2 linked regions of the Daphnia pulex genome follow. The protein of the gene in region 1 purifies or fractionates together with the protein of each later gene. This does not show direct contact. Links are inferred from orthologs where the notes say so. Each region holds a gene or a part of one and is shown on either strand. Other genes may lie near its edges. The genes, in order: interleukin enhancer-binding factor 2 homolog and regulator of nonsense transcripts 1-like.

Region 1 (10,952 bases):
TTTGATTGTAAGGGTCAAATTCAATTAGTTAAATCAGGAAAAAAAGTATTTCCATTTGGCATCCAAGAGGGTCTCGGAGGATCCTATTGTGGCGGTCTAAAAGTAATTATCTGTTGGGCCTAATGCAAATCTTTATTTTTATCGTGACTGTGGTAGACTCTGGGCTCAGTGTAACTTGTTGAGACGAACTATTTAAAAATCAGATGTCGAGCGCGGGTGAGAAAACAGAATATAAATTCCACTTTTCTTTGGCCTATTTTTATTTATTTTATTAAATAATTTCTCAGTTATCGTTTTTGAGCAGTTTAGATTTAGGGGAAGGGATCGATTTTTAATCATTTCTATCGATATCTGCGAAATCTTAATTGGAAAATTAGTGTCGTCTGCTTGATTTTGTTTGCACGTTTCGAAAAAGAGGCGACGTTTAATTAAATAAATTAACAAAGAAAACGAAAAGATGATCACTTATTGTTTTCAAACGTATAGGTACGAAAACGTGGCTGCGAGAAAAATAGAACAGCAAATATAGATAGGTGTGGTCATCGTGTCATCTCTGGTCGTGTTCTTGATAGAGAATCACTGAATACACACTCCATGCTGTTTCTAGCAGGTAATTCAAATCTAATGATTATATGTGGGAGCTTAAATAGAAGAGTCAAACCGGTTTCAAATTTGTGAAATGTTTCTGACTAGCATCATGTAAGCCCCCTGTCAATATAGCTATGGTAGTTTGTTATTTGCACTATGTAACCTTTTCTTTATTTGTGCAGATTTCAGGCCAGAGCCAGCCATCATAACAACATGATATATGCCAGTTTTGCTTTTACTGGTATTGACCTGTCATCAGCAACAATCTCACTATCATCGCTTGGGTAATTATGTGTGTTACTTTTATCCCTGTGACCTGCTAGGTAATTTTAATGATGCACATGACTTGCATGCATGTTGTAACATGGGAACTTTCAATTCTCCCATTTATTAAAAATTAGGGTTTACCCACTTTCTCATTTTCAACTTTTTTCCTACTCTTTGATTCTGCAAATATTTTTCGTAACCAATTTTTTATTTTTTTATTAGATAAACAGTATCCCGTTTGATTGAAGATTACCGATGTTGGATCCCGAGTTACGTGATCTCTTATTCCCTTTTATGTAAATTCCTCTGTCCTCGTGTACACCCATGTGAGTGTGGGTGTATTCACGAGTCTGAGGCCCTTTTTCCTATCCCGCCTGGTGGATTCAACTTTTCAGCGGATGGATGAAGCACTTCTGGATGGATGCCTGGCCGTATTTCCCAGACTTAAAGGTAGGAAACATGTATCTCTATTCTTCATTTTTGACTATTTGGGGGCGTTAATTATAAGTCGTTACATAGTACGGAATACGATTATTCCTGAGCTAGGCGGTTGAGTGGAACTTTTTTCTCTTGTCGTTTTTGTTTACTCAGTCAGGGTTCATTGAATAAATCTTTGTCAACCCACAACTTTGTCTGTGGGTAAACAAAAATATTTTAACTTTAAACACTTGAAGCAAAGTGCAACTAGAAAATTTTAACGACAAAGAGGGACCTGCCGGCACCTCAGGAATATTTAAAATGAAACCGAGCTGTATTATTACAGATACATCATTTTAATAACTATGTTACCAGAGAATGCATTTATTAGGGCGGTTCATGGCACTATCTTTCGAGCATTTGAAGTGACGGGAGAAATCGACCGAATTGGACAGGGTGCCTAGTACTCGATAGCGTTCGGGACTGTGCGGACCGTTCAAGATTTGCTGTTTGAGACTCTGCGTTGTTTGTTTGCCACACCAAATGTTGCCATAGGAAATGAAGAAGAGCTGCTCCGGTGTGTACTGCTCCAAGCCGGGCAGACGGGCTTCTCGCCCGTTCAGGGCTACGTAATTCTGATAGGCTAAAAAGGCCTCCCTAACGCCGCTGTTATCCGCAATGTTTTCCCCTTGTGAGATGATTCCATTGATCTAAAAATTCCCGCGTGTTAATAATACTCCTGGTTAATTGAATTTATAATGCTCACATGAAAAGCTTCAGTTCCAGCGAATTCCGGGAAAGTATAGTTTCCGTATTGCTCGACAAAGCACTGCGCTCCTTGGAGATATTTAGTCAGCGTTTGATTAGTCCACCACAAGTTGACTCGACCGTCTTTATCTGTCTGCCGCCCTGTCATTTATAAGAAGCCGAATTGAGTCACGCGCATTCAAATATTTTTAGTCATTTTAATTTACCAACCGTGATCGTCAAAGCCGTGGGTTATTTCGTGCCCAATTACAGCTCCTATTCCGCCGTAGTTGAGAGCACTACGGGAGAACAAATTCAATTATACAAGCCCTTTTGAAATTCAAAAGAATAGAGTTACTTACGCCAAGCGACCCTTTCCAAAAAAGGGTGGCTGTAAGATCCCAGCAGGGAAAGCTGTCAAATCATTCGAAAGGTTTTTTTTTATTAATTAAAGGTAAAATTGGGTTCAACTTACTGATGGAATTGTAGAAAAAGTAATAAAAAGCGTTGACAACCGACGGAAAAGTGACCCACCTTTCAAATAACAATAACAGATTATGCAAGAGATTATGTAACAAGTTATATAAATGGCCAAATTACGTCGTACGATCTGTTGGCAACCGAAGTCCTTTCATCTCTCCGTACTCTAAAAACCGAGTGACGTTGAGATAATTTTCAAAGTGACTATTGCTGTTTATCTCCACCTGAAAATTGAAATAGGCGGTCATGTACTGTGATTCGATTTGAAAAGTAAATGAAAGTAAAGACACACCCCTTCGTAAGCAAGTGTCAGTTGAGTTTTATTGAGTATCCAGTCCGGATAAGCCACAAATTCTTTCATGGCGGCCGCCTTTTCCAGCGCTCGAATTTTAGTTTCCGGGTCCATCCATTGCGATTTTTCCACCAAGGAATTGAACGCTTCTTTCAAATGTCCAATCATTTCAATCGCCTTTGAAGAAATAATTTTTTTTTTAATTGTAATAATTTTCCCGTAATAAATCCAAAGCGTACATCTTTTTTGGCGTGTTCGTCGAATGCCCTCTCGACGTACAGAGCCCCAACGGCGAATCCCAACGTGTTGGCTACTTTGTTGACGCAGAACCGCCACCTTGGTTGCGGTTCTGAAGCCCCGTAAAAGACTTTCCAGAATTTGAATGCGATCGAGTTCATCAGCTGATTCGTATTATCTCCCGCCTTCATCACCAAACGCCAGTGGATGTAATTTGCTTCATTCAATTTAAAATGTTAGTCGATTGTTTATTTTTCCAAGTTGATGACATACCAATAACTCTCGGGGAAGTTTGGTCCAAAAGACGGACGAGTTTGCGGAGGAATTCCGGCTCGGTGACGACAACTTGCTCGTTCTCAGTCACAGAAATGTTGACGACGGAGTAAATGTCGCTGATATAATCAGCCCATTTAATCTGTTTTTTTTTTGTTTTTTTTTTTCAAACCAAAGCTAAATTATATTAGAAGATTTTTGAATAATTTTAACTTTTACGTAGTTGGTTGAACGAGTTAAATGGACAACATTTGTCCACCGCTGCAGAGCGTCTAATCTCATGGGATTGTACATCCGCGTCCTGTTCCTCCTCATTTCCGGCTTGGTTTGAATCTGCGAAACAATTTTGGTGAATATTTTGACTTATCATTACAACGTTGATTATACTTTGGCGAGTTCTATTTGGAAATCAATCATCTGTTCCACTTGACGGGTTATGTCGGAATCATTAGATCCTCCTTGAATCGTGTCCCGTACCGCCTTGGCTGTTTCGAAAGCGTAATTGGCATACGCTTTCATCACGGCAGCTGTTGAGTTTGACTTGGCGTTGATCAGTGTCGAGTACGGAAGTCCCAGTCCGGATTGATCCACCTAATAAATTAAGTAAGATAGCATTAAGTTAAAAATATCATTATTCATTTATTGATCCAACAACGTACGTAAATGGAGCTTCTATTAGTGTCCTTCCAGTCAAGATAATTGTACACTTCAAAGAGAAAACTTTCTCCAAAGTTCTTCCGGATGGATGAGCTTACTGATCTCCAATCGAACTGGTCGGCCGTCCAGTTTGACACGGTCATCGGCCACCGACCGTACGAATCCAGAATTTCAGTCAACGGTGTCAATCCCAAAATTTCAATCGCATCCGTGTCCATGCAAGCCTTGTACATATCTCGAGAATTATTCACCGGTTTCGAATCCCGCATCGCATTCGGCTCGGTTAAAACTTCTGTTTAGTGTTCCGGCATTTTAAAAATTAAGCGATAAGACGAGGAGATCAGTTTTCTTAAATACCTTTAAGTAAGTGAGTGACTTGTTCCCTTAAAATATTGAAATGGCCCCAGCGGGAACTTGTTTCTGGAATGCTGTTCTTACGAAGCCAACCTCCGCAGGTGAACTGGTAAAAATCCTGACAAGGATCGACGGATGGATCCATGGCTTCCATCAAAGCAGCGGCTGAACCCCAATCATATTCCTTTCATTATAATAAAAAATTTCATAGGTTGAATAGATTTACCTGAGACGACGCATTCCTTGGTGTTGCAAACGGGATCTTTCAGTTTAAAGCCATCGATCGTAAGTTGAGCACTTCCCAGCTCTTTGATCACAGCGTCCAATTGTTTGATGGATTGGCTAACTGTTTTTAAGAATTTTGACTGAGATCAAACAAGAAATTCTAACTTGATTGAGTCAGTGAACCTTGATAGCCTAAAAGTCCAGTGGCCACCATAAAAACTCCGGCAACAACGACAGCTACCCGCACGATCCAGCGAGACTTTTTCGGGCTATGTGCCGTCCAAAAATCGAAAAGTGAACTTTTTCAATCCAACTGTCAAACATGTAAAGATACGTACGTTTTAATATTTGCTGGGGCTAGAGTCTCTGTCGATGTGACGACGAATGAATCCGCCATTGTTCAATCTTACAGAAGTGAATATCAAAAGTTGTTGTATTTTTAGCGAATTTTGGGTAGCTCGTCTCCGCTTTTTCTTCCTTGAAGAATGACAATTTTCTTGCCAGTTACTGATTGTTAAATACAGGGAATACTGTACATGATGTACAAAGGTGTCAGTGGAGCAAGATATGTGTTTATATAAAGGAACGTGACCTGAAATACTCTCCCCTAGTTATATCGACGGCTACACAAAATGAAGCACACTTAACGTCTCGAATGACAATCACCAGCAGTCTAAACTATCTTCCGTGGATTATATTTCTTTTGTTCTAGGGTCGAACAATATGTTCTTGGCGACCGCATCAGATTGGAAAGTTCATCTTTGTGTGGCAATCGAAAACAATGGTAGTAGAATGAATATCCTCATTTTCAATGAAATATTGATGTACCCAGTTTATCAACAGATCAACATTATGTCGCTTTTCCTACACAATTCTTTCAGAATGTCGCCCCAGAGTTTGTTTGTTCAATTCTACAACAAAGAAAATTACATAACGAAGGAACGCTTCGTTCGTGAGTGAGCACGACCGGAGCTGAGTGTGTAGGATGCATTAATGATCTGACAGTAATTAGAGTGCATTAATGAAACTCTGTATTTTTCTTTGAACTTTTTCACATAAAAAAAATTTGAAATTATACTAAATCGTGTTGGGCATGAATAGAATATTCAAGAATTTAGTGTACATAATTTTCTAACAGAAGAACAGACAATGCGATATAATAGTATTGACATCCTAATCGTGATCCACAGATTTAAGGATTTTCTAGTGTTTCGGTCGCCTGTAAAGCTCCCAATACCGATTGGCTGATTTCCGTCTGTAATTCGTGCACCCGTTCTTCTTCAGCGGTCGGTTTCTCGTCTACCGTCAACTCGATAACTTCCTTCGAATTGTCAGTTGTCTTACATGCTGTCAACACAAGATGATGGAACTCTTCCGTTTTATCAGCGTAAACATGGTGACCGGCACCGCCAATAACCTGAATGAAGACGCTCTTGTTTTAAACATTCAACTGAACACTGAAAACCAGTCGCTTACGTGGAGTTCAACAGTGGATTCCTTTCTGCTATCTTTAATTATCTGTCCCGGATGCCTGTCAACCCACGATCTCGCTCCATAGATGAACGTTAGAGGAATGTCTGATCTTAGTGCGGGGATCCGGTGAAGCATTGGGTATTTTGCCCATCCAAAACTAGCCATCTATGCGTCGAACAATAAATACTTAAAAGTGTTGATTTGGAAAATAAATCCTTTCAAAACTGCTTACCATAGCATGAAAGCAGGATTCCCCTCTGAAATTGAAAATATTTAAGACAGAAAAAACTTTTAGTCGATTGTTTAATCAAATTATCATTATTTGATCCGTTCTTACGTTGGACTTTGGGCGTTGCAATGGTAAACGTACTGGGAAATGGCTTCATCTGCATCTTCTACTGTCCCGGCATACTTTTGAAAAATGTCGGGACGAGCTTTTCGCACTATATGAGGCCCTGTTCAGTAGATTCAAAATTGATTACAAGGAAGATAAGCATAAGCTGGATAACACACAACTGCTGTCTATTGAACAAACCTAGACGTCCAGACACTCGGATAAGCCACAGCGGGTTAAAAGGTTGAAGGAGATAGGCGATTCCCTTCACCCAGGGAGGAATTCGGATACGGTTGTTCGAATCGTTCCCGGACGGACGATCAGGAAACCCCCAAGGGTCTGCCAGCACAACGTGCGAAACACGGTCGGGATGTTGTAGAGCATAAGCCGAAGCGAGAAACCCTCCCATACTATAGTGAAATACAATTACAGAGTACTATTTGATAATTGCATCAGTATTGCTTTATACCTATGACCAAGCAGCACAAATTTTTCCAATCCTATTTGCTTTCTCCACTCTTCAATGGATTTCACCATTTCAGACTCAGCTTCTAAGGCATTACTGCTAAAGTGTGGTCTGCTGCTGGAACCAAAACCTGGAATAATATTGCATCATATGAAACGATTGTAATCTTAAACAAAAATGTAAAAATGTCTACCTAAAAGATCTATTGCATAAACAGGCCTCTCTCTTGCAAGGGTATCAAGGTTAAGGCACCACAATGCAACACCCGAAGCAAATCCGTGAAGCATTACCAATGGTGTTTTTTCTGCATCCTTGTTGAGCATCAAGGTCCATATTTTGTTCTCAGTGCCTCCTACACACTTCCCAATATTGACATACTTTGCCTCGTATGCAGTCTTGATAACTAAACAATCATACAGTTAATTTAATAGTGAATATGGTGACTAACTGCAAAGTGCCAACTTTACCTTTCAGAATTCTGCTCTCTGCTCGCTTAAGGTGATACATTGATGTTGGACACCACTGGATGTAATTGCTTACACTCCACCAACTATCAAAAAGTATATGAAATGGGCTAAAGATTAAAATTATGATTTATTTCGTATCTTACATACCACTTATTATCCACTTCAGCTACAGTTCCAGGAGTAACCTGTTCAATAACAGTCTGTTGATCTATTTCCATCACAATCTCTGTAGTATTCCCAGCAGAAAAACTATAGTTATGTAATAGGATGACACAGCTTATTCCTACTCTAGGCCTATGTAGAGACCGCCAAACGAATGTGGCTACTATTTATGCAAATGAATCAAGGACTGTCTGACGAGCTTAGACAAAACCTTTAAAAGTTGAAAAATCACGAGATTTTAAGGAACGAACACTATTTAAGCGTATTACAATCTGCTCGTTGTGCTGTAAATATGTTATCTCTCGACGAACTTCGGACGTACAGTTTTCTTTCTCTTTTATAAATCTGCAGCACCTTGAGTTCGTCTGCTTCAACTTTATTGATGATTGGATTGCTACGTAATGCTGACTTGAAAATTGTAAACAAACCAATTTTGAATGGAAGTGGCTATTGCTGTGGATAGATGGCTGTAGTAGCAAATGTTTGCAATAAATAGTTCTCCAGTATACTGGATTTATTGCATCGAGATTTAAATTTAATTAATTTTAAAATTATTTTTTTTGTGGTTACATTTTATATGTACATTATTCACTTTTTTTATTTGCCAGCGGCTAGGCTACGTTTGCTCTGCACATGACCACTGCATCCTGCGGCCGGCTGAGTTTCGTGGCATTTCGACATTTCGTAGATGTTGTTGTCTGCTAGGTCGATTCTGCTTTGAATTTGGTCGTCTTATTGTAGCTTTTGCAAAAGTTATTAAACGAGGTTGATAGTATTTTTATTTGAGCTCTAGTGTTGTTTGTGTCTCCATCAAACATCTCTGATTTGTAGAATCATCATGCGTGGAAATTTTCGTCGAAATTCTCGTATGTTACGGCGCGGTGGGGCCGGTCCGATATTGATGGGAGGAAGACCAATGCATCATATGTCCGGCTTTAAACCTCGTCCTCATATCCTTCGAATGCCGTTTGATATGTTTGTTTCTGAATCATTTTACCCACGACTCAAACCCCAACCTGATGATAAAGATCTCACTCAAGCTTTGTTGAAACGGCATGCTGAGCTTGTCCCTCCTGCCAACGAGCAGACTTCCATTCAGTGTCTTCTTCTCAAAGTACAGGGGATTCTTGAAGGACTTACTGTGGCCCCAGGATCCTTTGAAGCTTGCGTAAGTGCATATTTTTTATGACTTTTTGTGCCTGACAAGTAACCACCACTTATTGTGATTTTGAATTTAATTTCAGCAATTGGAAGAAGTGAGGATTGTTGGATCCTTTAAAAAGGGAACAATGGTCTGCGGTCACAATGTGGCTGATCTTGTCGTCATTTTGAAAACTCTTCCAACACATGAAGCTATTCGTTCCCTTGGGGCCAAAATCTTGGAGGAGGTGCAGAAGCAACAAGCACAAATAAGTATGTTGTTATTGGTGTACTAGTGTATTCAGTGTATTCCTTCTAAATAATTATGTTTACTTGGTTTCAGATCATGAACTTGAGATAACTGACCGAGGTTTTAACATTCTCAGCGTGACTCCGCCTGAAAATACAAAAGCGGTCGTTCGAGTTTTAATTACAACTATCGGCCGCAACTTTAGGCTCATCAGCTCATCAATGCATCTAGACATGAAATATCTCCAGTCACACTTAGCTGCCGTCCGACACAGGTAACATTTTTCTTTCAAATTCTTCTGTGGTTGTTTCGCTAAACATTTATTAATATTCAGCCGATGGTTCGAAGAAAATGTTAACCACACATCAGTTAAAGTCCTGATTCGCTTATTACGTGATATGAGGACACGCATAAAAGGACTTGAACCATTGAGCCCATGGATGATCGATCTTCTGGTAACTTTCAGTTTCTATTTATTGGTTTTCAGAGTTTACTAACTTGATATTTTTGTAATCACAGGCTCATTTTAGCGTACTCAACACCCCTAATCGACAAGCATTGTCCGTCAATCTAGCGTTCCGTCGTGTCATTCAACTTTTGTCAGCTGGATTCTTTCTCCCGGGCTCTTGTGGTAAGTAGACAAGGATAATAGTTTGCATTTTTCCAATGCGAGATTTCTTATTTCAATTTGTCTTTAGGAATACTTGATCCTTGTGAGGTGGGAGCCATTCGCGTTCACATGGTAATGACGATGGAACAGGAAGACTTACTTTGTCGTACCGCCCAGAATCTCCTACGGATCCTTTCTCATGGAGGCTACAACGCCATTCTCTGTCTTGATCAGAAAAATGGTATTTCAACTTTTAATTATATTCATTGACGCGTCAATCTTATTTTCCAAATTTTCCTTTAGTGGACCCTACTGCTGAATTGTCTGTATGGAACGGCATCGTCGTCACTCCTCAGGACAGTGTCTACGATTCAACACTATACGATAGGAAAACCGGCGAGGAACCCGAAGATGAGGAAGTTGAAGAAGTTGAAGCCCCTACAACAGAGAAAGAAGCCGATTCTGCCATCTAAAGATTTGATGTTTCCGTGTATTGACTTTCGGTGTGAACAACAATGACTAGTTCGGTTCAATTAATGACTAGAAAAAACAGATTTGTTATGAGTATTGAGAGTTAAATGCAGGGATTATCATCGCCCGTGAGATCAACGGAATCGCAATTGATTGTATCAGTGCTTTCAAGAACAGGGATTCGGAAAAGCTGCCCGGCTGGCATGCAGATGCACAACTTGTATTCAGCCACTTTTGTTGCGTTGTGATCTTCGAGTCTCCCAGTCACGGCCATGGCGTCTACATCCATTATTACGCCATCAGATCCGTCTAAAATAATGCTTCCATTGATACTGCGCAACAGAAGATCCTGGTCGGCTCTCATTACAACTTCTTTGCCCCGGATCCTCATTCCCTCTTTGCCTTTCACGCGAATGGCTTTCTCTGATCTGATAAGTAAGGAGCCTTCCAACTTGCTAGTAATCCTGTTGGCCGTGGCTTTCTTGATGTGTAAGTTCAAAACACCTTTAGGCAAACCGAAATTAGGAAAAGTTGTAGAAAATGCGCTAGTCTTTGGGGTTGTGCGCGGTTCGAACATCTCGAAACCCTCGACTTTCCGAAACTCGACTTTATCTTGACTGATGATGATCTCTGGTTCTTCATCACTCATAACCTACATGGGTATATTTAATAGTTGTTTTCTTATTCCATGTTTGTTTAAATTTCATTACCTTGAAGTTTAGATCATCTCCATCACTGGTAATTGTTACTGGGCTCTCTTTAAAGCCAGTAAACATTCCATCAGCTTTCATGAGTTTGTTCATCTCCAGATCACCAAAAAACTTGATGAGATTTGCAGTGGGGACAACTTCAATGTTCTCCATTGATTTTGTAACATGAAGAACACTGTAAAAATGACATTTCAGTAACTGGAGAAATTTTTAAAATTAAATGGTAATCTATACCTGAAAATAGTTATGGTGAGAAAAAAGTTCCCTAATGCAACAACACACAAAACAAACACCAGCGCCCAAAAAGTATATCCTGCGTCCAAAGATGTTAA
Region 2 (11,553 bases), on another chromosome or scaffold:
AACTAATGAAACTTTATACGTCTTTAATGACAACTCAAGATTAATTTTTTGTTTGGTTTTTAGTGTCGCTAACGTGGGCTGGTGAAAATAATGATTACACAAAGGTGAGTTCCACTCTCTCTTAATTTTGTATTTCATATGCGTTTCATCAAATTATATTCACGGTGAATCCATTCGGCAATTTTACATTGACTGATTATAAGAAAATATTTTTCAAGTGACCTACTAAACTAAAAATTCTCAAATTTTATAATTGTTGTTTCAACTGACTGAATAGGAACTACCAACTGTATTGCCCGAAGCCGAATTCAATGCAATGACCGACGCCCAAAAATTGTAAATATTTCCCATTTTAATCTTTAGAAAATCAGGTTTTTATTTTGGATGGGAATTAAATTATCTGGCATTTCAAATTATTCAGGCGGGCTGCCATGAAGGGATTTGGTACGAATGAAGAAGCCATCATCGACATTCTTTGCTATCGATCCAACGCCCAGCGCCAGAGTATTTCGAAAGCATTCAAACTCCAATTCAATCGAGTAACCTTTAATTTTCTTATAAAATGAGATTTCATTGTTGATTGAAATGCGTTTGATTAACAGGATATCATTGCTGATTTCAAGAGTGAACTGAGTGGCAATTTCAAGAAGCTCATTTTGAGCATGATGATGCCACCGGAAGTACACTGCGCCAAGCTTCTAAACAAAGCAATGAAGGGAGTTGGCACTAATGAGGACGTTTTGGTGGAAGTCCTCTTCTCCCGCCCCTACGATGAGATAACAAGGATTGCTTTGGCCTACGAGTGTTGTAATATATTTAGATTCAACACATAGATTAGCAAAATAATAATCGATAATAATATTAAATTTTTCTATCGATTTCAATCAGTGTACAATACTCCCTTGGAAAAGGATGTCCGAGAAGGTAATCACATATTTTTCAAACGTGTCCAACCCTATTCCGTAATGTAATAGTAGCCTATCCTTTTAATAACTTATTCTGAATTAAAGATACTTCGGGGCCATTTCAACAATTGCTTCTCAACGCTCTACAGGTTCGGTCGTTTCCATTTTAATTAAACGTCCAATTTGTGATATTTATGGGGATGTATAAACATTTATAGAGAAAGAGTGATCAAACAAGTGGCCATGGAGATTTTGCTTATGATCCAGTTAAAGCCCAAGAAGACGCACGAAATCTTTACACCGCTGGTAAATATAACTCATATGGGGGTTTATCATTATTTATTACAAGTTTCAAATTAACTATTGTAGGAGAAGGAAAAATCGGGACAGACGAAAACGTCTTCGTAGACGTCTTTGGCTTTGCCGCCCAATGTCGTCGTCAGACTTCCGAGATGTTTAAAATGTACAAGAAGATTTCCGGAAAAACAATTGAACAGGCTCTCAAATCCGAAATGTCTGGAGATCTCTTGCATGGTCTTAAGGACATTGGTATGCCTCCGGTCATTGATTATTTGCGATCCCGTAGTCAAAATCAACTTTAAATTTAACACTTTGAACGTTTCAGTGGAAATTGTTCACAACCGACCAGCTTTTTTTGCCCACCGTCTGGAGCTAGCCATGAAAGGATTGGGGACAAATGACAGTGCTCTGATCCGCATCATCGTCGATCGTTCCGAAATTGATTTGGTCAACATCAAATCGGAATATGAGCGCATCTATTGCAAAACACTTCTTAGCTCAGTCCAGGTAAATGAATCTCTAAACTATTTCTGTACTTTACATGCACAATCTTTCTGACTGACTGACTTTTTAAAAATCTCAATATGCAACCTTTGCGATCTACAACATCGGCATTTTATAGAGCGAAACTTCCGGTGATTATCGTCGCGCTCTTATTTGTCTCATCAAAACTGCCGATGATTGATTTCACTGTTTACTTTTTCCAAGTATATTTTGTTTTGATGTACCAAATTTATTGTGATCGATCTTGTGTCCGTCGTTTTGGCCATATTCCTGATTGCTGCTGCAAATGCGGAGGCAACACTTCTGGAATTTTAATTTTTTCAATATCTCAATGTAATTGGGTGAAATATACAGACATATAGCCAACTATTACCTCTAACGTCTGTAGTTGTATTTATTATGCAAAGTGTGTACATCAATTATCGCAATAGTTCCTATTTTTCGGGTTACGTCTTCGTTAAGGTATCTATTTTGACCCGACCTTCAAAAACTGCCATTGATAGAAATAATAAAAATAACGATATAAGATTTACGAAATACCAAGAAATTACCCAACTAATTGAGTCTAAATTTTTTTTTTCTTTTTATTTAATGTTTATATAAAATTTCTTTCAGTTGGTAATAGAAAACATTTCTTAGTCCGAGATAGAATATTATCTAACATACATAGTATCATGTAACATGTCGTGATCCGGCCTATGTAGAGAGCATTTGATACTGCGTTGGGAAGTAATAAAATATGCCGATGATCTAGAGATGCCGTGTTTGTATGAAGTCGCTGTCTGTGTACTGCTAGGGTTACATGTTTTTCTTCCCTACATTTATAGGGCTGTTCGACATCTTTTTTAACATTTGTTGCCATCGTGGCAACGCAGCAACTCATGTATTTTTGTCTGCTACGAGTGACTTGTTTATTCTGTGAAATTTGAAAGTTTGTATTCAGATTAAAACAATCACAAAATTTTAAATTATCTAATTGATAGGTATTCTGCATAATGAATACTAAAAAAGGTTCTGTGAGTAGATGGTGCAAAGTGTGAAATTGCCGTAACCTGAAAAGTGCAAGTGTAAAACTGTATAGTTTACCAAAGGAGGGTGTAAGGCGAGACTTGTGGTTGGAGAGAATGAATTACATCATCCACACCAACTTGAAAAATATCTATGTGTGTTCGGATCACTTTGTTACAGGTATTTATAGGTTAATACTAACAATTATTGACTATTATCTTACAATTTGTGAAATGCTTACAGGAAAGCCGAGTGGAGAATTCCACAAAAAACATGTTGATTGGGCACCCTCTATAAATGTGGGATCAAATAAGACGAAACAATTTCTAGGTATTGCATTATTCATTTCATGTGTAAAAAACATTCCTATATGTTGTTTTAATGAATGAACTATTTTGTCATTACAGATGGTGATCATCAAGTACGTAACAATGTTGCTTTTGACAAGGCTGATACACCTCCATTGATAGATGTTGAAACTGCAACTGAAGATACCTCAAACAGTTTCGATGAAGATGTTGCATTAATTGAAGATACACTTCTAATAAGTGATTCTCATCCAATCCCATCCTTGAACGATGTAACAACAAGTACGGAAACTTTTGACATGACTTCAACTGCCGATGATGAAACTATCATAACGGTTGAAACCACCTTTGATGCATTGCGTAAGTAATGTTTTAAAATGTAATTTTGTAATTAATGAAAGTAATATTTTGGTTCATTACTTATAATTTTCAGCTGCATTAAATAATTCAAGTCAATCCATCAGGGACGTCGAATTTACTTCCGGTGATTCATCACTAACAACTTCAGTTTTCGTGTTCATCTGTTGTACCCTTACTGTAGTGTGTTTAGGTGAATAATTGTCATAATAAACCAAAAATTTTCAATAAATACTTGATGTATTAACCTTGGTTAACAGGGGCACAAACATATTACCATTTTCTTCGTAATAATTTAATCAAACACAACATTTTCACAAATGGAGATTTTCTTTTTTACAAAGGAAGGTACACAAATTGTATCTTTTCGCTCACTAGGGCCTACTGATTGAGGTTATATTGGAAAGTGCTGTTCTCTGAACTTGACTGTTACTAGGAACGACCGGTAAGTTATTTTTCTTTGCTTTTGCCGCTGCGGCTGCTACGGCACGAGCAGCTTTCTTGCAAGTGTCATACTTCCAAAGCTTTGTTATTCTTTTTGGGGGATTAGTTTGCGACTTGATGCACGATTCGTGGAATGTTTTTCTCTTGAAATTGTTGTCTGCACAAATAACTTTCCCAAATAACGTGTTTTGGCCTCAATACTAAGTCCACTGGCATAATTAGACAGTGACATAGTTAAACACTAACACTATAACGAACTAATATATAAATAAAACACATCACAACTTCAAAACAACCCCCTTTTCTATCACTATTTTTCAAAAAAATTCATATTTCGCAGAACAAACACAAGTCACTCGTAGCAGACAAAAATACATGAGTTGCTGCGTTGCCACGATGGCAACAAATGTTAAAAAAGATGTCGAACAGCCCTATATGTCTACGAGAAATGAAATGTCTTTTTCTCTGAAACCACTGGCTTCCTAATTCTGTGACTCAATTATTATCTGAATCGTGGTTTAAGACCTGTTTCTACTTCATTAATTCTTTTCTGTATAACAATGTAACTATAACCTGCAAGCAATATTTAAATCACGAATGTGAACAATAATAATTTGTGACTGGGCACAAAAAGTACCATAGGAGCACATAATCTGGCGATCCCGAAAATCTTTATCTATAAAGCGTTGTTATTTAGCTTAGATCTAAGTGTGTTTGTTTGTGTGCCACTGTGCCTATCTAATGTGCAACACAACTGGTATTTCATTACATTTTTCAAAAGATTGCGCAAGAGGGCGGTTGCATCAACCATCAAGCCGAGAGATGGCGCTTCGATCGCACTAAAGGAAAAGGGAAAACTCGCACAGCCGTGAAAACACACATGCGAGTTTCGTTCCGTAAGAGATTGTAATTGACGTCATTAATTGCTATACCATTTGGCAAAATGAGTGTGGACACTTTTGGGCCCAATTCGCAAACGCTCACGTTTCTCGACACCGAGGAAAATGATTTACTTGGGGCAGACACTCAGGGAACTGATTTCGATTTTCGCGATTTTACTTTGCCGAGTCAAACCCAGGCTTCACAAATTGATCATGCCAGCCTTCACAAATCAATGGGAAAACATCAGGTAAGAAATCCTGCCTGGTGAAACTTTGAAAACATTTCTGTAATTTGTGGTCATTTTCAGGCGAATGGGCTGGACACGATTGATTCTCAACTTGCTACTGCAATGAAAAATTTGAACGATCTCCAGTTTGAGGAAGAAGATGAAGAGGGCTATTACAGCAAAGATTTGCCACCACATGCATGCAAGTATTGCGGCATCCATGATCCTGGTTGTGTTGTAATGTGTAATATTTGCAAGAAATGGTTTTGCAATGGCAAAGGTAATACTTCTGGCTCTCACATTGTTAATCATCTTGTACGAGCCAAACACAAGGTAAAAATATTTTAAAAATATAAATCTTAATCCTTGTTTATAATCAAACTCTTAATTTTTCAGGAGGTTACATTGCATCGTGATGGACCGTTGGGTGAAACAGTTTTGGAGTGCTATTCTTGTGGAGTCAGAAATGTTTTTGTTTTGGGGTTCATTCCTGCTAAAGCAGATTCAGTTGTTGTGCTGCTGTGTCGCCAACCTTGTGCAGCTCAGTCATCATTGAAAGACATGAACTGGTTAGTTAAATTTACTGTGCTGTTTGTCATGTGTGGTTTTCTACTAACTTCTTCTTGCTAATAGGGACATTGAACAATGGAAACCACTTATAGCTGATCGTTGTTTCCTCAGTTGGCTTGTTCGAAGCCCTTCAGAGGCCGAACAGATGAGAGCTCGTCAATTGACGGCCCAGCAATTGAACCGTTTGGAAGAGATGTGGAAAGAGAAACCTGAGGCTAGTTTTGAAGACCTGGAACGTCCTGGCGTTGACGAAGAACCTCAGCACGTATTGCTGCGATATGAGGATGGCTATCAATATCAGAATATTTTTGGTCCGCTAGTGAAACTTGAAGCAGACTACGACCGACGAGTTAAAGAAGCCCAAACTCAAGACAACGTTCACGTTCGCTGGGATGTCGGTCTTAATAAAAAGACTGTCGCTTACTTTAGTCTTCAAAAGACAGATAGCGGTAATGCCTAATATTTATAGTTCACTAGTGTCCCTTCTCATATTTTTCGTTAATTCAGATATGAAACTGATGCATGGTGACGAATTAAGATTGCGTTACCTTGGGGAACTACACAAACCGTGGACTGGTTTGGGGCACGTGATTAAACTTCCAGACAACTACAGTCAGTCTAATATATAATAGTAATAATAATGATAATATAATATATAAATAACTATATTTTAGGCGAAGAAGTCGGAATTGAATTAAAGAATTCAAACGGAGCTCCTACAGAATGTTCCACAAATTTCGTCGTGGATTTTGTCTGGAAATCAACGTCTTTTGATAGGTAACATCCGATGAGCTCGTATTTCAAAGAGATCTAGTGACTAAGAAACATGTCTTTCAGGATGCAATCGGCCCTGCGGAAATTTGCAGTTGACGAAAGTAGCGTTTCAGCTTACATTTATCATCGTTTGCTCGGTCACGAGGTTGAAGATGTCGTATTCCGCCTACATCTCCCTAAACATTTCTCTGCTCCTGACTTGCCTGAGCTGAATCGATCTCAGGTATAAAATTTAGTTGTTACTTGATAGAACATAGAACATTCATTGCTTATCTCATAATGTTACGCTTTACAGGTTTTTGCTGTAAAACAAGCAGTTCAACGTCCATTGACATTAATTCAAGGACCTCCTGGTACCGGGAAAACGGTTACATCGGCCACCATCGTGTACCATTTGGCTAAACTAGGATCAGGGCCAGTATTAGTTTGCGCTCCGTCCAACATTGCTGTTGACCAATTGACTGAAAAGATTCATCGAACTGGTCTGAAAGTGGTCCGTTTGTGCGCGAAATCCAGAGAGGCCATTGATTCACCCGTCTCGTTCTTGGCCTTGCATAATCAAGTTCGATGTCTTGAAGGGTAAGAATTTACTTTGCGAAAATGTGTCATCGTGGGGCTAAAGTTAACTTCTATTATAGAGCTTCAGAGTTGCGAAAGCTGGTCCAGCTTAAGGAGGAAGTCGGTGAGCTTTCACAGGGAGATGAAAAGCGATACCGCATGTTAAAGCGACAAGCAGAACGAGAGCTACTCGAAGCAGCAGATGTATTAGCGTGCACTTGTGTTGGTGCTGGTGATGTTCGCTTGGCTCGCATTAAGTTTGCATCTATCTTGATCGATGAATCAATGCAAGCTACTGAACCTGAATGCATGGTCCCTGTCGTCCTAGGAGCAAGACAGGTAAGAATCCCTTGGTATTATGTGTTTTAGATTTTTATTAATTCAATGTTTTGGGTGTTTAGCTCATTCTGGTTGGAGATCATTGTCAGTTGGGCCCAGTGGTGATGTGTAAACCAGCTGCCAAAGCTGGTCTCTCGCAATCACTGTTTGAAAGACTGGTAGTACTTGGCATCCGGCCCTTCCGTTTGGAAGTACAGTACCGTATGCACCCAAGGTTGTCCGAGTTTCCTTCCAACTTCTTTTACGAGGGATCACTACAGAATGGTGTTTGCGCGGAAGACCGAATCCTTCGCGGGGTAGATTTCCCTTGGCCAATGCCAGATAGGCCCATGTTCTTCTACGTTACATTGGGTCAGGAGGAAATTGCTGGATCGGGTACGTCCTATTTGAACAGAACGGAAGCGTCAAATGTGGAAAAGATTGCTACACGTTTTCTTCGATCCGGAGTCAAACCAGAACAAATTGGCATCATCACACCGTACGAAGGACAAAGAGCTTATCTTGTACAGTACATGCAACATCAAGGATCACTACATGCTAAATTATACCAAGTAAGGGAATTCATATTTCAAAACCTTTTACGAAATCTTTAAATTTGTATTTTGTTTTTGAAGGATATCGAAATAGCTAGTGTAGATGCTTTCCAGGGTCGCGAGAAAGACCTCATCATCATGTCGTGTGTTCGCTCAAACGAGAACCAAGGAATCGGTTTTCTCAACGATCCCCGTCGTTTGAACGTTGCTATGACTCGCGCCCGTTACGGAATCATTATTGTAGGCAATCCTAAAGTGTTGGCCAAGCAGCCTGTATGGAATCACCTGCTTCACTTTTACAAAGAAAATCATGTTCTAACTGAGGGAGCTCTCAACAACCTCAAAGAATCCATGATGCAGTTTCCCAAGCCAAAGAAACCAATTAATAGTTTTAATCCTGGTCAGCATTTCATGTCCACAGCCGTCTACGACGCACGCCAGGTATGTTCGTATTCACAAAAGAATTATTTCAAATTATGTAGTGCTTGTCTGTCAAGGATCTTGTATTCTATTTTAAAATAATCTTATCATTTAAAGGCCATGGTTCCTGGTTCCGTCTATGATCGTTCGGGTGGGGGTCAACCACCAAACAACAATGGTATGAATACTTACATACCTCGAGCCACGGCCAATGTTGGAGATCCGTACAGCCGTTTGCACGATCCAATCGGTTACATTGCTCCAGAGAGGGCACAGGCCGCTCTTTCTGCTATGCCCGTTCCCTTGGGTGTCTTTATGAACATGACGCACGTCCCGCCTAGATTCCACGGCCAGCAGCAACAAGGGATGCATGGTTCATCCAAATCCAATCAGAGGCCAAAAGACAATGCCCGAGGAAGTGGGCCTCGCGCTGGCAAAGCCGCAAGCAAGGGAAGTTCTTCGCTGTTTACACAGTCACTTTCGCAGAATACACAGGATGTATCAACGCAGCCTTTCAGCCAGGGTGGCATGGCTCTCACCCAAGGAATGTCACAGGTACTAAATAATGCCAAGTTGAAAGGGTCGCGAAGGTATGCTTATCCATTTTAAATGTTCTTGTAGGGGATGTCGCAGACGGTCTCGGGCTTCGGAGCACTATCGCAATCGGGTCTATCCCAGTTAGATCCGTCACAAGACGCCTATATGTCATCAGATTATCAGTCGCAAATGGATGGACTGCTCTCTCAAGACTCGACGTATCAAGGGGGCCGTTCAGCCTTCTTCCGCCATGGCTCTCAATTCACGCAGGTAGGTTGATGAAGCGAATTTGTCTTACTCTTTGATTGAGCCTGTTGTTTTCAATCTAATGCCGACCTTTTCTTAGCCATACTGAAAACTGTAAGGCGTTGCAGTAATAAAAAAGACCCTAAGAAAATTGACGATGACGACGCCTGGCGGCAGCCGACCGTATTTGAATTCATCTTGCAGTTAAAGATAAAAGAGAAAAGGGGAAATCCAACGTTCATCAACTGACAGCTCGAAAGACCTATGCCCATCTATCAAATGGCCTTCAACGTCGCACACCATAAGCAGCACTAGCAATCTGCCGTTGAAGCAAGAGAGCGGTGTCCAGACGAACGAGCCGATAACGGAGCTGATGGGCTTCAACAAATTAATGTCGAAAAATACGGGAAACAACTGCTATACCCATACCATCCAACATAGTGGACCCTACCTAAGTCTGTTTCTAGTGGGTTGGAAGCCAACACAAAATCCCTTCGACAAACGACGTTTTTTTTTCGATAGAACGTCACCCAAAATTAGAATGCTTCTTTTGTAGGCCCCTCAGTTGATAACGCGTTCGAAGCTTAGTGAACTGATTTTTTTGAATTGTTTATTTCTCTTGACTTGTTTTCTCTCCAGTCGACCAATGCTTTCTCTGTTTCCTTTCACGCTCTTCAGCTTTCTTCACCTTATGCTTTTACATGCAAGTTTAGTTGTCCATTCATTTCGCGAGGATTAGTGTTGGGTTACTGGATGTTCTCACTTTGCTGTTGCCGAGCCCTTTAATAGCGCTCTTTTGTAGGAAGCAATTTCACATCGTGCGTTTTCTTTCCATCTTGACGGAGAAAATCAGATGGAAAGAAGATCAGAATACACTTTGTTTCACGGGAAATCATCGAGTGCGTTCTTTCTTTTAAATATTCAAGCTAACTCTGTTGTGCATAAAAAAATGACTGATATTTTTGTTTGGCAATCAACTACATAGTTATGAAACATTGTCTTCGTCTTCTCAGTGTTGCCAATGAAATTCTGATGATCCTGTAAGCAATTTCCAACTCAGCTGAAGGCTGGTGAGATCCACTTTACCACTAGGAATATATTCTTTAAAAGTGTCCTCGGCGTCTGCCATTTAGTTCCAGCCTATCACCAAAAACAACAATCCTTAAAAAATTTTAACACCAATTGGATAAGAAAGAGCCTTAAAATTGGATTAGTATTTTGATTGGATGTGAACAGGTCCGTGTATCACAAAATCAAAATTAAAGACATTACAGAAGGTGCCAACAAATTTTCGAAAGATAACGCGTATTAGTAAGAAAGATTTTGATACCCCATAACTCGTTGAAAGTGATGCTCAAAATCGAAGATGTTGTTTGTTTTTTAACATGTGCCTGGATAAAATAGAAAATATTTATGCAAGGAGAATAAAAGACTAAGAACATGGAATGCTTACCTGTCGAGTTTCTCCCAGAACGTCATTAGGGCAGCGCGATCAAGATGTCGTTTAGTTCGGGACAAAGAAATCACATTTACAGCCCATTTTGCTACATTCTGATCCAAAGGTATGTCGTCCCATTTAATATGAAAGGCGGAGACTGTTGTTTCAACGAAAAGAGTTTAAATCTCGAATTGAAATCATGGCGTATTTTAGCACAACAAACCTTGAACGAAGATTTCTACAGGGTTTCCAGTCCATGGCCAACCTTTAAATTGCCAAGCAGGGCCCATAACAAAGACGGCTACGACTCGATCCCAATCCGCGGGGGCTAGCTTCTGGGGACTGTCTATCACTCTACAAGAAAATAGTTCCATATTTAATCAACACATTGAGACTTTTAGTTAATAGAGAGCACACCGATAGGGCACCGTTAGATTTCCTTCTTTGCGTCTTTGTAAAAGGATCTCGTTGTCTCTTCGACAACCCTGCTGCCTTTTTTCTTCTGTGCTAAGAAACCTTTTCAAGAGAAAATTCATTTTTAAATCGACCAGAAAGTCAAACCTTTGAACTAATTTTAGCCTTACTTAAGATCTTGCAACACGTCCTTTGCGTTGAACATGGTGATTAGAGAGGAGTTGGCGGATGGAATAATAATGATTGGCGTTCGAGATACTCGCTTGGTCGGACCGGTTGAGGGACGTGGTTGAGCAACAGCTGTAGGGGCAACAGCAGTCGGTGCCGCAGCCTTGCGAGGTTGAGTACCTTCTGTCACCGACTTTAGCGTCATGCCGTGATACGTACCAGTGGTATCAATTTTGAAACCCTCCGTTTCTAATAATAGCAAGAAAAATTTTATTTTATTGTTCAATTAATTGCGTTCGTCTATTTACCTTCTTTCCCTCTGAATCTTTCTTGGTCGTAACGACTGTAAACTGGGCCTTGCTGTTGAACAGGAGGTCCCATTCCAGGAGGGGCACCGCCTGGTGGAACGACTGCTCGTCCAGCTCCTGGTGGAATTGAGCTGTGACCTCTTAGCTTACCATCCTCTCGAGCTTTAAGACCTTGCAGGATAGCAAAGATATTTTTCGAAAACACCTAGGACACATTTAAAGGTAAAATGAATGTACTTTACCAAAACGAATCTAATTGAATGCCGCATACCTTTCCAGAGCTTTGAAGGACTGAAGTCCGATTTCTCCATTGC

What was found.
Region 2: the proteins of interleukin enhancer-binding factor 2 homolog (region 1) and regulator of nonsense transcripts 1-like purify together in Homo sapiens (affinity purification with mass spectrometry; 3 studies listed by BioGRID and IntAct, counting the BioPlex papers as one, with this or other methods). This does not show direct contact. The link is inferred for Daphnia pulex from reciprocal best matches to the Homo sapiens genes ILF2 and UPF1.

What each region holds. Positions count from the first base shown.
Region 1 is NC_060024.1:13,504,292-13,515,243, reverse strand, and holds interleukin enhancer-binding factor 2 homolog, read left to right. Parts: upstream 1-8,052; 5' UTR 8,053-8,204; intron 8,205-8,270; 5' UTR 8,271-8,277; coding exon 8,278-8,607; intron 8,608-8,683; coding exon 8,684-8,852; intron 8,853-8,922; coding exon 8,923-9,103; intron 9,104-9,163; coding exon 9,164-9,284; intron 9,285-9,348; coding exon 9,349-9,460; intron 9,461-9,527; coding exon 9,528-9,680; intron 9,681-9,742; coding exon 9,743-9,912; 3' UTR 9,913-9,972; downstream 9,973-10,952. Other genes in the region: neprilysin-like, read right to left, coding at 1,641-1,982, 2,039-2,181, 2,251-2,318, 2,382-2,433, 2,495-2,553, 2,620-2,723, 2,792-2,968, 3,031-3,245 and 8 more; (Lyso)-N-acylphosphatidylethanolamine lipase-like, read right to left, coding at 5,730-5,954, 6,014-6,175, 6,243-6,267, 6,348-6,465, 6,546-6,754, 6,814-6,940, 7,004-7,213, 7,278-7,360 and 1 more; beta-sarcoglycan-like, read right to left, coding at 10,014-10,562, 10,621-10,795, 10,855-10,933. UniProt on the Homo sapiens protein: Chromatin-interacting protein that forms a stable heterodimer with interleukin enhancer-binding factor 3/ILF3 and plays a role in several biological processes including transcription, innate immunity or cell growth.
Region 2 is NC_060017.1:7,851,654-7,863,206, reverse strand, and holds regulator of nonsense transcripts 1-like, read left to right. Parts: upstream 1-4,590; 5' UTR 4,591-4,769; coding exon 4,770-4,955; intron 4,956-5,015; coding exon 5,016-5,267; intron 5,268-5,330; coding exon 5,331-5,503; intron 5,504-5,567; coding exon 5,568-5,953; intron 5,954-6,011; coding exon 6,012-6,116; intron 6,117-6,178; coding exon 6,179-6,281; intron 6,282-6,341; coding exon 6,342-6,501; intron 6,502-6,573; coding exon 6,574-6,857; intron 6,858-6,916; coding exon 6,917-7,175; intron 7,176-7,237; coding exon 7,238-7,726; intron 7,727-7,789; coding exon 7,790-8,149; intron 8,150-8,245; coding exon 8,246-8,683; intron 8,684-8,749; coding exon 8,750-8,935; intron 8,936-9,011; coding exon 9,012-9,020; 3' UTR 9,021-9,803; downstream 9,804-11,553. Other genes in the region: annexin B10-like, read left to right, coding at 64-104, 278-336, 422-539, 603-807, 889-924, 1,011-1,054, 1,124-1,211, 1,275-1,454 and 2 more; uncharacterized protein LOC124197441, read left to right, coding at 2,834-2,897, 2,961-3,047, 3,125-3,385, 3,459-3,583; parafibromin-like, read right to left, coding at 10,266-10,302, 10,365-10,506, 10,573-10,703, 10,767-10,865, 10,934-11,180, 11,240-11,444, 11,511-11,553. UniProt on the Homo sapiens protein: RNA-dependent helicase required for nonsense-mediated decay (NMD) of aberrant mRNAs containing premature stop codons and modulates the expression level of normal mRNAs.